Drosophila melanogaster: one gene and its partner. The gene in region 1 interacts genetically with each later gene. Each region holds a gene or a part of one and is shown on either strand. Other genes may lie near its edges.

Region 1 (7,634 bases):
GAACTGTAAGAGCAAGCGTTACAAGACTCCTGCTGCTGTGATTTGGATTAATAACTCACCAAAAACGTGTCCGAACAGTGGCCACAAGTGACGCGGCACATGCCCGGCATGGTTGGCACGGGCGGGGTGACGGGACTTGGGGCCAGGTTGATGATCCTCTTGCAATTGGGCCTTGGACAAGCGATTCGCTGCGACGAGCTCTTGCAGATTAACAAACAGTTGCATGGGCAGCGAACATACTTCTTGCCCGCTGGAGCGTTCCGAATGGGCTGTTGATAGCCAAAAGCGTATTAAGTTACAATTGGATTCAAAGAATCTGCTTAGAATTACTCACAGTAGCCTCATTGCAGTGGGTGCACTTGACCACGTGCTGCTCCCGCTTCGTGGTGATGTCAATCATGTGTTGACATACCCGACAGGTGACCATCGGGACGCCTCCGGTGTTGGTACTCTGCTGATACGGCGGCGGCAGCTCATCGGGTCCAATGCAAGGCACTGCGGTCGGTGCTCCATTGCCTAAAATTCCATTGCAAAGTATTATTAACTACTTATAATATTGTTAAGACCCATGCCCTTCAAAGGCGAGACCTTTGGTGTAGAATAAATACATCTCGCCAGCAGAGTTCGCTCAACCACACTGCTCATCTGGCGGTGATTGGCTCATGGAGGGAGTGAGAACTGCATTTTCTGATAGTGTGCAGTGTGTGGCTCTGGGAAGCTGCGATAAACCAAATGGGTCAATGTTTTGGCGTTATGAATGCAGCTTTCTCGTACAAGCATTAAACTAGTGCAACTAGACCGCAGTTGTGGTTCTCGTCTCTCGATCAAAACAAGTTCGAACTTTGTGAAAGACGTTTTTAAATGAAAACAACGCAAAGAGTAACATCGCACACACTCTTTAGGAAAATTGATATGAAGTGGATAAATTGCAAATAAAGTCATATTACTTTGGCTAAATAAATATATAATGTCAAAAAGAAAGGAATACAGAAAGATAACCTATGCAAATTAATTGGGAACATGGAAAGTCGTAAAGCCCTTGTAACTAAACTCTTGTATATATTAATGATATGGACAAGCTTTTTCCGAGCTGAAGATCAGGTTCCTTGGTAAACAATGGAACCACTGCTCATCGCAGACCCTCATTTTCGCCCTGTATTGCGATAAGGCAGCGAATGACATGATGACTCATGGACTCATTGACTGCCCCCGCTTAACCACCACTATAGCAACACCTCCGAATCGATGCTGATTAAACAGCTGTGGGGAACGCTTTTTGCGCTGATTACGAGCGTCCTAGCATAAACAATAACAAAGGCGGTGCAAAAATTTTGCCGATACCGGCGTCGAGTAACTAACTACAATCGATCTTTACATTTTTGGCAGCTCTTCACAATTTCGTGATAAAATTACATTTTTTTTATGGTGTACGTGGCCCATTTGATATTTAGGCCAATAAGAAAATTTTATATTAGGTTGTAAATTTTTGGTAATACCAATAATACTGGGCCCTATTAAAAAATAAAAAAATGGCAGATAATTTAAAATGGCATTTGGGCACCACATATCCTATCAGTTTTTCTTTCTGTGCAGTCCCATTGCTCTCCCCCCGCACCAAACCACACGCATTTATGACTCAGTTGGGTGAAGTGTGAAAATGCCAAATGAGACGGCGAGCAGACAACTCGGAATCACGGCGTTGGATCCGGATAAGTGGAGCGCCCGCACACTTGTTGGGCTTCCAATGGGTTGCCCGCCCGGCTGATTGGATGCGGGTTGAATGCCCGGCTTTACAGTAACGATACGCACCGTCCTCGTTTGTGGCCACCGATGAGTTGCTGCCGGGATTATCGGCACCCTCGTCCACGGCGTCCACGGAATTGTAGCCATTGCCGTCGTCCTTGTTGATCAGGCTTTGTCGCTCTGGATCCGCCATTGTGGACTATCTTCCGATAAATGGATATTTATATGTGTGGACTATAATCTCTATATGCTGGAGCAATTCCCGTTAGGCTGCACTTCCAGTTGCCTTTGTTTTGTTGTTGCTGTTGCTGCGGGGGCTGCTGCAACGCGTTGATTTCAACTGGAAAATGAGTGGGAAATCCAATAGTTTAGTTGCTGTGCCACATAATTTCGGACGCAACGAGCTCTTTGTTCACGATTGCCGCAGTAGTTTGGTTTTTTTTTTCTTCGTTCGTCGCGGTTTTCACTCGCGTTGATTGAAACACATCCTCCCTTTTTTCACTTTTCGGCATGCGCCGCAATTAATCAATTCGATGATGCTGCATGTGCAACGCCCACGCGAGCTCGATTGTCGCACTCACACAGTTGACATTTGGTTATAATACTGGCAATTGCGTTAATTGTTTAACAATTGCTGGCCATAATTGTGCTATATTTTACCTTATTTTTGTTGAAAATGCACTGCAGTCGCTGCGATCTGGCCACACTCTGGCTAGCTATCTGGCAACGATGTCCCGTTTGAGATTTTTCAGTTGCGGCCCTGCCAGGGAGTTGCCACATCGTTGTACTTGGTAAAGAACCAGAAACAGATCAGCGAAAAATTGTTCATTTTTGGAACCAAAACAATCCAGCGCGGCTTAAAACAAATATGTCTAAAATCACGAAAAACTCCAATAAAATTGACAATAAGGATTCTGTAAGCGGGGAAGGCTCAAATAGTGGGGACGATAACACGTCCACAAGTTCAAGTGACTTTGAAACAAGCAGAAAACACAAACTACGCCGCAAATCCTGTCGAAATGTATCATATCATTATCATGCGCTGCCCATGCGCGTAGTTGGCGAAAATGTTGCAGCACTGCCACAAACTCCCAGCTCCACTCGTGATTTAACACTAAGCTCAGCTCAAATAATTGAAGATAGTTCCGACTCTGAGTTTCATATTTCGGACGATACCAGCAACGATGCGCCGGCCAACAAATCGATAACGTTCACAGCACGTCCATTAGAGAAATATGATTTGGAATATATAAGAAAACTACGTAAACGCAAAAAAAAGCCGAGTAAAACTTTATATGTTGATTAAATTTCAAATAACAACTGTTGACCAGGGCTGGAAACGGCAAATGCCCATCTATTGGCCAACACTGGCAACCCAAGCCAGGGTTGGCTTGTGCGTTTTTGGAGTAGTGGTAAATTTTTACGAGCATAACTATTTACACTGATTTTATGTAAATAAAACAAACAAAACGTAGCAAAATTAAGTGCAAAGTGTAAGTAGTAAATGTGGACAGTCGTGCTGTATAAAATTCTAGGTATAAACACTGGAATTCTACGAAAAAATCACCGATGATTTCATTTCCATGCAGTGCGTTGTTGTATGGGAAACTTCGTCGTAGCTATTTGTTGTTGTTGTTGTTGCTGCTGCTCATCACCATCATCCTCGTTGTTTTCGTTGTTGTTGCCGCAGCAGCTGCGTCACAAAAATGAGTTTTGTTTAATTTGATTTTATTTACATTTGATATGGACAAAACCGACTGCCCTTTTAGGGCATCGAACAAGAACAACAGCAACAGTAACTACAAAATTCAGGGCAAACACCTGTTCCTAATTGATTTTTCACTTTTCTTCGCCGACTTCTAGTCTATTCACCACCCCCAACACACAAAACAAAAAAAAAGTAAAACTACGACTTGAACAACAACTGTGTTTTGGCATTTTAATCACAGCAATTAAAAACAAAGCAGCCAAAAAACACGAATAAATAACCCAAACAGTAATAGACCAACCGTAGTACATAGCATTGTTCAGAAATTAAAAGTTAAATCAATTCGAACGAACGAAATTACAAACCCATTTTGACCGCCGATTAGTACACAAAAACCAGAAAAAGGAGTTAGCAGCTAAGGAAAATTTGCAGAAATGGAGTCGCCCCCGATGTTCAATAGTGTGGAAGATGAGTGCAGATATTGGAAGGAACGATCTAAGCAGTACCACAAAGAGTAAGTGCCCATCCCTATTACAGTCTCCGAAATCAGCCATATAGCCTAGTTTTACTTTTAATTTTCAGGTGGACAGACGTGAAACAGGAGTACGACGAGTTTGTGGAGCAGTCCCGCGAAATGGAAATAGAAATGGACGCCACTCTGGACCAGAAGCAGAGTATAATCAAAGATCTCACAGCCAAACTCACAATGTTTGAGCGGGAAAACGAGTCTCTCAAGGTAGCTATAAGCTAAGCCCGATTTACACAAACTGAGCTTAATTCTTAGACTCAGTTTGCGTATATGTGGCTTTGAGCTCCCGACAAGATTAGTCTTTACAACTATTTCATTCTCAGCTCAAGTTGGAATCGCATGGCATCGATATGTCAAACATGGAGAAACAGCTGGAAACGGTGAAGAAGGATCGCGACACCATGAAGGTGTACCTGCGGCAGCTGGAGCAGAAAAACGACGATTTGGAACGTGCCCATCGCATACTTAACGAAAGCATAGAGAATTTCGAGAAGATGCTGGATCAGGCCTACGAGAAGAACGCCCTTCTGGAGCTGGAAGTGGATGAAAAGGGATTGCTGCAGGAAAAACTACAGCGATTAATGGATGAGACGAGAGGTGGATGCATCTATACCAGATGTCCAGCACAGACTTTAAAACTAATTCATCAAATCTATTGCAGATCTCAAACAAGAGCTGAACGTCAAGTCACGCTTTACCCCAGTGGTCAATGGAACGAGCGTTCCCACGGCAAACGACACAAATACGGTCAACAGCTCGATGAACTCGTCCGCCTCGCTGCCAAATGGTATTGTTGCCAATGGCGAATTGGTAAAACACGACAATGCTGTCGCCACAAGAGCCACCAGCGTCAGCGTCAACGCCCTCAATGGCAGTTTAGTTAATAGAAACGAATATAACCAGCAGCATTCGCTTAAGAGTAAGATACTAAGTTCCCTAAAGAAAACCAGACGCGCGCTAAAACTGTCCAAGACGAATCGCCAAACGTTCAAGCCATGCATTTAGTATTGTTTTTCCATTTGTTTCTTTTTTACTTGTTAACCAAAAAATGTAGCCCGCTTAAGTTCCTCATAATTTGTAATTGTATTGTAAATTATTAAAATTAAGAGCCCAAATGTGACGAAAGAGTTTGCAACATTTCTTGTAGGCGATTTTTGTACGATTTGTGTTTGCGTCTGTAGCTAGTAGTTGACCTAACTAACCTCTCGACTAACATGCTGTGTACGTGTGCTTCCTCTTGCAGATCCCGAGAATCAAATCAATGGCAATTCCATGAACCCCAGCTCCCGCACAACGGCGCTCAACATTGTGGCCGACATGTTAAGAAAACTAAACGTAAGTCCCTCCGCAAACTATAAGTCCAGCATGCCATCCTACCTCATCCATTGTTTCGTATGTACATATGATCCTTGAACCCTTCACTCCCACCATCGGCTTATGTGTTTTTCCCTATGTTTTTAGTGGGACAAGGCACTGCTATGTCCCGAGTGCGAAAAGTTTCGCTGCATGTGTGAGCGCCCGGCAAGTGTGCAGCCGCCGCCGCCGCCATCGGCCAGCGAGGCAAGTCTTTTTCGCCGCGCCTTTGGCGGCAGCAGCAGCTCAGTGGCCACCAGTAGCGCCCAGTCCACGCCCACCAGCGATTGCAGCTCCGCCGGAAGCCTCAGTGCGGGCTCAAACATTTTTAGGCGCTTCGCCGAGCGCATGCGAAACTCGCCGGACGCCAGCCTGCCGCTCTGACAATGCGCTCGGAACTTTAAGGCTAATTTTAGTTGCCCTCCGCTTGCATTTATTAATTGCATTGGTTAATAAATACAAAATTTATTTGTACCTTATTTTATGTTCTTTGTTTTTGTTCGTTATGATTTATTCAGTTTCGAAAGCGCATAATAACTTGGCTTGCTGACTAAACTCTGCACTGGGCAAACCGTTGCGAAATGAAATTTTCATTAATTTATTTATTATATGATGTGCCCAAATCCTTCTATAGTTAATTTTTCATATAGTTCACTGACTGTTGCTTAATCCGCTCTCGTTTTGTGTTTTTTTTTTAGGCGATGGAGACGAAACTGAAGACGTACCGCGAGAATGGTCAGCCAATGCCGCAGCGACACCGCTCCTCCCAGCAATCCACACATCCGGCGCTGGCCGGACTGCCTTGCTTCTCGCTGGATGCCGAGTAGTGTGGATTCTGCAGTTCAGCGTGATCCACAAACCCCAAATCCGAAACCCAATCACCTAGGGCGGGATACTGTTCAGTTGGCTTTACGTTTACGTTACGTTACTTTAATGTTACTGTTCGCATTAATTAAGTTTCTGCTGCCTCTTTATTTATTTGAACTAAAATGACTTTGTATAAACCACTTGCGATATTATGAATTACACAACAGTTGATGTTGTTGTTTCGAGCCCAACATATATAACATGCCTTAGTACGAATTAAGTGTATACCTAAGCTATAAGTACCCACTCGGTTCACTTTTGACTTGAATTGTTAACTCGAACGCAATTGTTTTGGCATACAATGTGTTTAGCGACTAAGTTCAAAGTTGATCAACCAGCAAAACAAGCGAAGAAGCTCTGTCCAAGTATTATACTTCAAGCGGACAACCAATACTCGTAGCGTTTAGGAAAAAGACAAGATCTAACCCGGGAAAAAAAATTATTAAAATTATCGAAACGATCATCTAGTTATATTGTAACTATCCCCAGAGCTATTTTCTGTTTATATTTACCAGCGAATATAAATTTGTAAAAATGCAAAATATTGCTAACGGCAAACTGTATAAAGCATAACAAAACTCCAACGAACAGGCAAACAAAATATATATATATATGTATGAATAAAGAGCAAAATAATTAGTTTAATAGAAACCATCCACAAGCACATCAATGTCGATGCCGTGTGTGTTGCAACTAATTAGTTTTAAATAATATTTGAGTTCATTACACAAGTTGAATGCTGCGTCAATTCCTATGCCAAGGCCGAATTTTCATATCGAGAGCTTTTCGCAGGGGAAACTTTCCCCGTTTTAGACCCATTTCATTGCGGATTTTCCCGGAGCTTTAGCCCCAACCAAAAGGATGCTGAGCTCACTGAGTTTGTGGATGGAGTCGGCTGGTGGACGCACAGTGCTCCATGGTGGGCAAAGTAAACTGGATCTGATGCCGACCTTGCTGGCGAGAAGGTCCCGTTGGCGGTAAGCTAATGAAAGTACTTTGGTTTTTATAAGTAAGCACCGGGTGGGTTAGCGTCGTCGAGTGCTTGGCATTAAGCGAGCCATGCTAGCTGGTTGGCTGGAGAACTAACTCCTTTCCAGATGCCAAATCCGCCACAGCAAATGCAGCGAGGGAAAAGTGAAGTGAAAAATGAAAATATGACACAAGCTTTTATCATACGCATAGCACTTACCAGGGCAAAAAGGGATGGACTTTCCTGGACCTGCCTGGTGTTGCTGTTGCTCTTGTTTGCTGCTGAGTGCATTGTTTGCTCCCGTGGGCGGTATGGGCGGTCTAGGTGGTTGTCCAGGGGGCGTGGCAGTGGCCATAAGCGGATTGGGAATGGCACAATGCAATTGCCGTTTGAAATAAAAGTGAGCAGACACAAAGCCAGTCCTGCATGAGTGCACCGAAAAACAATTCGGATGCATCGGTTTA
Region 2 (9,061 bases), on another chromosome or scaffold:
AATTTTACAGATCAAGCATAGTCCCCGTTAAGTTTTTTTTTTAATTCGGTGTGTATTTTTTACGACTTGTAATACAGCCACACATAAAATACTGTTTTTAACCAAACAAACATGTCGCTTATAAAGAATTTGGTAAAAGAGCCCGAACAGAAGGCAAAGAAAAAGAAAAAGAATGCGGGATCTGGAGAAAGCGATTCCGATGAGAAGGACAAGCCTCTGCGGCCGTTCATCAAAACCGCGACAGATCTACAGAGGCTGAAGCTGGAGAAGCTCATGAAGAATCCGGTATGTGTTTGCATTGGAAAGCTGGGTGGACATTCATATTAATAAACCTTTTATTGCCAGGATAAGCCCGTGGTCATACCGGAGCAGCGTCGCGAACGGGACTTCATGTCCTCGGTGCCCACGTTCGTGCGGAATGTGATGGGAAGCAGTGCTGGAGCGGGTTCCGGCGAGTTCCATGTGTACCGCCACTTGCGACGCAAGGAGTACGCCCGCCAGAAGAACATCCAGAACCAGAGTGCCCGCGAAGCAGCAGATGAAGCTTACCAGCAGAAGTTGGACGACAACAGACGCGCGGCCGAAGAAAAGACTGCTAAGAAACGAGCCAAACGGTTGAAGAGAAAACAGAGGGCGAAAAAGCCGAGAGAGGACAAGAAGCCACTGGCTAAGGAAGCCTCAGAGGATAGTAACACAGATTCCGAGGAAGAGCCCACAGAAGAAAAGGCAGAAAGTAGCCCTGAGGAAGGACAACAGGTGGCATCCAAGGAATCCGACGACAATAACACCCAAGAAACTTCGAATGAAGAGGCAGTGAATTCAAATACAGAAGCGAAAAGCGCAGAGGACACAAATGCAGTGGAATTAGATAGCACCGAAGCTACAAAGGAATCCCAAAATGTGGATCAAGAACAAGACAAGCCTGTGCCTTAGTACCTCCTGTTCTATTCCTATCAATAAACCGTTTAGAGTAATAAAACACAGTGCGGTTTTATTTATAGTACTTTTGTAATATATATATATTAAGCGATTTCTATACATCGCCAGTATCTAGGGGTTTTCATCTGAGGCCATCTTTCTAAAGCAGCTTGGTTGAGAAGAAAGCGTTTTGCGAATTATGCATTGAGTTGTCGTGGCTTTAGTGCGCATTTTGTTTTTTGTTGTCTTACATTTATAAGGTGCATCAAATGTTGCATTTTTGAGTATAATAAATGCTTTCAAAATTTGACATCGCAGGCAATACATTAATTATACCCTTGACAGAAATCCACCATTTTTAGTTCTGGGTATAAACATATTTTTTTCTGGTTTCTTGAAGAAGCAAGTTTTTATTGTTTTCAATAATTAGATTTCTTTGAATCCGAAAAATCGTTTCTTCTAATTGTTGGATTTTTCTGCGTTTTGTTTTTGTTTTCTCAGATACATCTATATGATTTCTCGGTTTTGCACAAATAATTATTTATAGTATATTTATATATAGGTATATTTTTTGCCGTTGCTCTTAAATAAACAATTACAAATAAATTTGCAGCATTTTTCTACTATGTAAACCGTAAAAGTAAATTATATTTTGAACTTAAAGCCAACTTAAATTTGTAAGCATTTTGAAAGGTATTTGTTTTTGTTGAAGATCCTTTCGCGAAAAAGAACACAAAACAGGAATTGTGTAAAGTGAATATGGTTAAAAGAAGCAAACTGTTATCGTTAAAACTACCTCAATTATGATAAAAAGCATGTTGCACTCCTCTCCAAGTAATTCTCATTAACAAACTTCTCTTTGTGAGTACAAGTTTTCTTAGATGTTGAAATACTTCCTTGCTTATATAAATTTTCCAGTGAATTTAGCTATTATTATGCATACATTTTGCAAACACTAAAACACATCAACGTCATTGAATTTTTTTCAAGTGAGTGCGAGTGCTCGGGTACATTTGTGGATGGAAAAACATTTCTGCGCCACATGGTACACATGGTATTAGCCGTCGAATGAAATACAGTTTACCATTGTAAATACGTTCCATTCTCATCGAATTCTACGACAAATTCAAGTTAGGATGCCCGTTTGCTTAGCGAGCCAATGCTGGTTTATAAAGGAGGGCGGCATTAACTTTAAACGATAATCGTATGTATGTATTTTTTGGGCATTTTGTTTATGTACTTTGTATAGTAGGTAGGTAGTTAGTTTAGTTAGAAGGTCGTACAATTAAATAAATAATTCGTTTTCGCCAGTTTCATTCAGTTTTAAAATACAATATGTTCATTTTACGCTGACACAGAAAGCGTCTGGAAAATAAACTTCCGCGGAGGTGGCCGAGACTGCTCGTGTATGGGCGTGTTGTGTGGGTATGTGATTTAATATATTAGCTTTATTTATGTTTAAATTGAGAAGTAAGCAGAACCCTTGCCGATTCTTCCTTAATTTAACGACATTCCCAGACCTTTACTGTTTGATCTACGCTACCGCTAATTACGTACGGATGCGCTTTGTGAAAATCTGCAAGAAAACGGATGACAATTAAAATATATAGTTCATACACACAATGCCTTGTGTGGACCCACCTATGGAGGTGCAGAAATGCTGATGCGCGTATAGCGTCTTCATGCATCGCTTGTTGCGCAAGTCCCACACCCGAATGGTCTTGTCATCGCTGGCCGACACCAAGTATTTGCCACCAGGATGGAATGCCAGGCCACGCACCCAATTGTCATGGCCACTCAGGGTAAGCAGGCACAGGCCGACGCTCACGTCCCAAATGCGAATGGTTTTGTCGCGAGAGCCGGAGGCCAGGAACGGGCCCTGGTGATGGCCCTTCTTGTTGTCTGCTCCGGCTGCCTCGTTTATCGCAGAGGCTGCGGCTTCCGGCGCCCAGGCAATGCACTCCACAGTATGCTCATGATCGCGTAATTCAACCTGCAGAAGAATCAAACCGTCGTTAGACTCTTCATTGCCAGCAGAAGCTGCACATGGCAATGCTCACCTTGCAGTCTTTTGAATTCGTCAACCAAACACGTATTGTCTGATCATTTGAGCATGTGGCAAAGATGCTGCCTTCGATGTGCACTCGCACCATTCGCACCCACTCTCGATGGCCTGTGTAGGTTTTCACACAGTAGCTGAGGATGAGAAGTCACATGTTGGTCATATTATCCCTTAAACGAAATGTCCTTTTTCTTTAACTCACCCTGTGGCCACCTCCCACATTTTAATAGTGCGGTCCCGGGATGCAGAGAGTACATAATCTCCGGCCGGCACAAAGGCCACCGACGAGACATTGTGATCGTGACCATGCATAGTTTTGATACACTCGTAGCTCTGCTGGAAATCCCACAATTTGATGGATAAGTCCGCGCTGCAGGAGGCTGTTGCAATTAAAGCAAAATTAAATTGGTTTTACTATATATTCAACTATGGCAAGATCTTACCCAAAAGCTTGCCCTGGGCATCAAATGCGACATCCTGCACAGAGTCCGTGTGTCCCTTCAGGCTGCGTTCGTACTCGCCAGTTTCGAAGTCCCAAATCCTAATGGTGGCGTCTTCGGATGCGGAAACCATAAGAGCAAAGATGGGGTGGAAAATTACCTGCAATTATAAAATGTAAATGTAAAATGTTTATTAATTTGTTAACTTCTCAACTTACCCTCGTTATGCTGGCACGATGACCGGTCAGGGAGAACTTCTCTGGCGGCCGAGGTATCCACTCGCCAGGCGTCCGTTTGTTCTTTGTGGGCGCCCCCTCGATGACCTCCTTCTCAGCTTCAGTGAGCTTAGCCTCTAGTTCCATCACTTTCTTCTGCAGCCGAATCACGGACGTCCACTTCTTTTCCAACAGTCCGCCAAATTTCTTTTCCACTTCTGTGCTGAGATCGGCCTCCTTGCGGAAGGTCTCCAATGAGTCGGCGTAGCCATTTGAGCCCAGATAATCGGCAATCGCTTGGTTACTGATGGCGATACAATTAAAAGGATTAGTTCATGGGGTAATAGTTATATAAGACGACTGGGACTTACAGCTCCTCGCGCTGCCGCTGCGACAACACCATTTTCATACTGTTTTCCGATTTGGCTTGTTTTGCTTCTCTCGTTCGCAATTCGGTTATCCGCCTTCAACTCTTGCAATTCTGCAATGGAAAAGGTAGACATTCAATATGTGTACAGCAGTTCTTACCACAGTCAGATACAAGATATATTTCCTATATACATATCTTGCAAACCATTTCGTTAGACAGAGTTATGTATAATTTTTGGTTCATCTATCGAACTTCTACTGTATAATCATATGATGATTTGATGTACCTGGGACAGGAAATTGGTTTCGCAAAACCTAAATGCCAAAAATGCCAGCAAGTTTCGTTTGAGTTCTCATGGAGGGCAGGCGAGTCACCCACATTTTCTTGAATTTTTTTGGCAGCAGTATTTCTGTTTCCTATGCTCACCTTTCGTCTAGTCATTATATTGTTTCATTCTCCCAAAGCGGAGCATCATCATTATCATCGTGTCTTTGGTTTCTGGCACACATTTTTGTGTTGCCCGTGCCTCGAATAAGTGGGCAAAAAAAAAATAATAATCGAAACTTTGGCAATGCTTGAAGCGAAGCAGCAGCAGCATTTGGTAACCCCTGCAATCGAACTGCACTCGTCATCGGTGAGTTCAAGGGTCGATTTCACATGGAATTAGGCAGAAATCATATGGGTGCGCTATTTGTTTGTTTAGTGCCCATGTTTTTTTGACTGCAAAACCTTTTTAATCAACTCAAGGTGGCCAAATCATGGGTATAGCACGCAATATAACAACAGCAATCGGAAACAAATAGCTAACGCATATCTCGCGTACTTGATAACGATGGACAACTGACGCGTTGCCAACGAATATACTAGCGAAGGAAAATCCACGACAAGGCAAAGCCAATTAGCCAGACTTAACGGTAGTTCAAGCAACTTCTTATAGGTAAATAAGGCTGCGAAAGAGCGTGCGAGCGAAGAAGCAGAACAAACACGGGCACCAGAGGTGCAATTGATAGCATAAAAACTAATTCAGCTGTTTCTTTTATTTGTGCTAAATAGTTATTGGCTATATGATCATTAAATTAATAGGTGTTATGAAAACATAAACAAGACCTAAATATCTCGAATTCATTACTAATTTCATGGCCCCACCTGTGAGAGACACGCTCACACATCACGGTCTAGGAAATGACGTTTCCAAATTATTTTTGGCCAAATGATATTTAACGATTTTTTTGAACTAGCAAATATGGCAAAAAAAAAAGACAAGCAAAAACTGACCAAACGGGTTCACAGCCGAATCCGATTCGAAACGGCCACTCAATATAGCCGTGAGTCATTCGGCTGGACGCGACTTGAACTACTCCTATAGGGCTTATCAGCTGTATTCGAGCACTTGGCGCTCATCATTTGAATATTGTGGGTGGATGTTTGGCTGCGCTCTAACTGCGCATCTAAATATATCCCAGGAAAATCGATGAAAAGCGTTGCGAGCGTCACGGGTATTAATGGAAAAGTGGAGCGTGGGCAGCAAAGTGGGGTTAAGATAGTGGGGGGTCCCTTAAACCATCGAACGAAGTCAACACTGTTTGTGTTGTGGCAACCAGGCATTCCGAAACACAAAGCCATGCGCATTGTAACCGTAAAGCTGTGGGTGTGTGCCATATGGGGGAATGAAAACAATGGGAAGGGGGCGTTTGGGTCGCACGCCACACCAGAAATGTTACTAAATCAGTAAAAATCATATGGGATTCTCATTGTTGCACTTGCTCAAGTTAATTTAATATTTGAATTTTAAATGGTTTTGGGTGGGCGTGAGAGCGAGATAGTTGGCAAGGGGCATAGACCAGGGCTGCAACGAACACACACACACACACAGTAAGGTCTTGAATTTTAAGGATCTTTCTCTTCCTCTCACTCCCCCTTTCGTTTGAATTCGCTTGCTTATTCTCTCTCTCCCGCTCTGGCAAACAGACCTTGCACTTGCCTTTGCTTGTTTATTTGCGTGTTTCATTGATTAGCACACACTCACACACGCGCCGGCGAGCAAATGCAATTGCAATTTCAAGTGCAAAAAGAGAGAGGAAAAAGGAAAACAATAGCCAAAAAAGCTTTGAACTCCAGCTTTAACCCCACGACGGGCATCGAATGCAGGGACTAACCGTTAAGTGCCGAGACTTTTTGCTTTGCCTTTCTTTAACCCACTGCTGGAAACGTGCAAAAAGCTCGTCACTAGATAATAGAAACAATTTGCAGTGTCAGGAGCGCTTTCCACACATTCTGGGAAATCGCAACGGGTCTTGAATATCTAAAAGAATGCCGCAGCAAAAAAGCCCAAAACGGAAAACTGTAAAAAAAAAACAAAAACAACTACACAAGCACAACGAAGAAAATAAAACGAGATTTCTTGTGCATTGGCAGAACTGGTTTGCCCAGTAATAGGTGTTGTTGGCCTATGGGGGAACGGGAAGTACATATATGCAAGGAATCGGCCAGTTCGGGGACTCGACTTGGCTAAAAATCGATCAATTCTACTTTTGGCGAGGGGGAGGACTCCAAACATGCGCGAAAATCCACAGACATCGTCACTCGCACACACACACACACTCGCGCACGCACACCAACGCACTCGATGTGTCATCGCTTTCTGGTGGTTGTAAATAAAATGTAATCATAGTTCGTTTCTCCACTTATTTACTGATCGTCTTTTTGTTCAACACACTACTTTTTTTGTGCATAATTTGCATAACTCTTTCGCTTGTTTTTTCATTCTCTTTTCAATAACAAACACAATAACAACAACAGTTTGAACGAAAATACTGTTACGACGGCCATCTTGGATAGAGAGAGGGGGCCAAGAGAAAGAAATGTCCCAAAGGCAATATGCATAATGGGGAAAAAGGACAAATATCCAAGCGCACATATAGTATATTATATTTTCCGACTCCAACCGACATGCTTGGTACATAATGCGCGAACTAACACTTTGCCATTGGCAGTTTTGTACATATGACGTTTTTTTTTCTTCATTTCTCCCAATAGCCCATTACACGGGTTGGTTGCGAAAAATCCATTTTGCTTGGGTGTTCTATTTACAACGCGGCGACTCGGTGTTTGTTCTTATTATGCAGCGAACGTTACTTACAACAATTTAGTATTTCATATATTTATAATTACGCTTATTTATTTATGTTTAATCGAAATATACGAAAAGAATTACGCAGAAAAGTGACGAGCGGACGAAAATGCTTCGATTAGTGTGACCGCAGTGGAAGCAGCTCAAAAAACATCACGGGACTATCGATGACAGCGATTAGCTATCGATGTGACTAGGAATGTAGAAAAATGTTAATAAAAATATGTATAATAACTTCTAAATACTTTTTATATCTTATATAAGACCTAAGGACTGAAACCATTGAGTAAAGAACGAGTTGCCATAACTTAAGCCCTACTTCCATGCAAGCGCAGTGTGAACAGCTTAAAAAATTGGCGCGCTATTTAAAATGCTGATAAGGAAATGGACCTTCGTCAGCTTTTTTTTTGCGGAACCACAACGCCTATCCGTGAGTGAACAAAATGGGTTTCCAATTATTTATGCCATATAAGTATTGCTATTTATTTATAACACATCCCAATTCGATAGTCAACACTGCAGTTTGCTAATTGTAAACCGACTTTGTTGTTATCTTACACACACATTCGCGATGGGAGTAAACTTTCCTTATCACCGCTCACACAGCGCCAGAACACAACACAACCGATTTATGGAGTGCTCCCTTTGGCGCTCAGTATTCGAGAATCGCTCAGCGGAAACGGTTATTAGTTTACTGATTTTCGGGCGACACACACACATTCGTTATTCATAGTTGGTGCGCCCAAATATTCGCGAAACAGCAACAACAATTAGCAACCATCTGTCACCTGTGAGTGCAGCGTATCGTACACAATCTCAATCGCTCATTGGGAAAATTGCCGAATAATGTAAATCATTTGCCAAATTTGGGCACTCGTTGTGTGTTATCAGTGTTTGAGATTTAATCAGCCATTTTGTACGCATTACATTATATCGATATAGCCGCTATATCAGCCAATTCTATGGCTCTATAGATATATGTTAAATATGATTCAGTTTAGCAATGCTTGCTAATCCTGCGGTAGCCGATCCTCTTGGCCACATTAGCGTTTAACTGGCGAAATCGAAAGCCATTTATGAGCCAGCACCGTATGGCTGTTATCAGACCGACAACTCTGATGATTATATGCCGATGATAAAGGCCGCTTGTTCGTTTGTAAACGTTAAATTGTTATTATTGGCTTACTTGGTGTTTTGGAAAACCTCGGCGCGCTGCGATTTGTTTAAACAATCGGGCACAGACATTGGCAAATTGTCAACGTTCCATTGCCACACTTTCTGATAACCAAACCCATTAATAATGATCGGAAAGTGTCATTTTTTTTATTTGCTCCAAAGAAGAGCTGTCTTCTTCGCTTGCTTCCGTTGCCGGCAGCGACAACTGAAATTAGTAATTAGTGCTGCCAATTTGAGGGTACGGAATTCTTTCGATTAGCAAGCTCTTCGATGACGCACTCAGCATATCGGCAATATAGTCTATATATCTATATCTATATATCTATTGCTATACCCATTCCATTTGCGACTGCGTGATGGGATTGCAAACAGAGCCGCGATTCGAATTCGAGGATCGTCGTCGGCGATTCTCTGCGATTTTAGCGAATCTGTCGTTAATTTTGTTCGATTATTATTGGGTTGTCCAACAAGCCAGATTACTATCTGTATCTATATCTGCTGGCCACTTCTCCAGCCTGTGAAGTGGCTTGATAAGATTCTAGGGATCCAAAAAATCCAACAAAAAATTCAGAGAATATTGCGACATGACATTGCTGGAGTTTCCAACTTCATTCTCATGAATTTCCGCCGCATTAAAAGGCTTTGGGTGTAAGCCACGACATTGAGATAACCCCCTTTTTATTTTTTTTTTTTGGTATCTCGACCATTTCGTTTATTTTTTTACATTTTCCACTTACGTGTGGTATTTGT

The links. Genes that interact genetically often act in the same process or in processes that back each other up.
Region 2: of nudE (region 1) and Lis-1, changing one suppresses a phenotype caused by changing the other (phenotypic suppression), as found in Drosophila melanogaster (one study listed by BioGRID).

The regions. Positions count from the first base shown.
Region 1 is NT_037436.4:9,896,120-9,903,753, forward strand, and holds nudE (nudE), read left to right. Parts: upstream 1-3,121; 5' UTR 3,122-3,236; exon of another isoform or gene 3,237-3,268; intron 3,269-3,606; 5' UTR 3,607-3,885; coding exon 3,886-3,965; intron 3,966-4,033; coding exon 4,034-4,187; intron 4,188-4,303; coding exon 4,304-4,577; intron 4,578-4,641; coding exon 4,642-4,899; coding exon of another isoform or gene 4,900-4,985; exon of another isoform or gene 4,986-5,078; intron 5,079-5,223; coding exon 5,224-5,315; intron 5,316-5,441; coding exon 5,442-5,717; 3' UTR 5,718-5,793; downstream 5,794-7,634. Other genes in the region: CG6707 (uncharacterized protein), read right to left, coding at 1-3, 60-269, 335-516, 1,810-1,936; CG46387 (uncharacterized protein), read left to right, coding at 2,612-3,049. UniProt on the Drosophila melanogaster protein: Chaperone protein with functions in nuclear localization. Required for centrosome duplication and formation and function of the mitotic spindle.
Region 2 is NT_033778.4:16,177,036-16,186,096, reverse strand, and holds Lis-1 (Lissencephaly-1), read right to left. Parts: upstream 7,272-9,061; 5' UTR 7,145-7,271; intron 6,765-7,144; exon of another isoform or gene 6,725-6,764; intron 4,849-6,724; exon of another isoform or gene 4,292-4,848; intron 4,117-4,291; 5' UTR 4,045-4,116; coding exon 4,007-4,044; intron 3,940-4,006; coding exon 3,639-3,939; intron 3,581-3,638; coding exon 3,424-3,580; intron 3,361-3,423; coding exon 3,183-3,360; intron 3,115-3,182; coding exon 2,979-3,114; intron 2,912-2,978; coding exon 2,560-2,911; intron 2,495-2,559; coding exon 2,421-2,494; 3' UTR 994-2,420; downstream 1-993. Other genes in the region: CG8441 (uncharacterized protein), read left to right, coding at 112-285, 346-933. UniProt on the Drosophila melanogaster protein: Positively regulates the activity of the minus-end directed microtubule motor protein dynein. May enhance dynein-mediated microtubule sliding by targeting dynein to the microtubule plus end.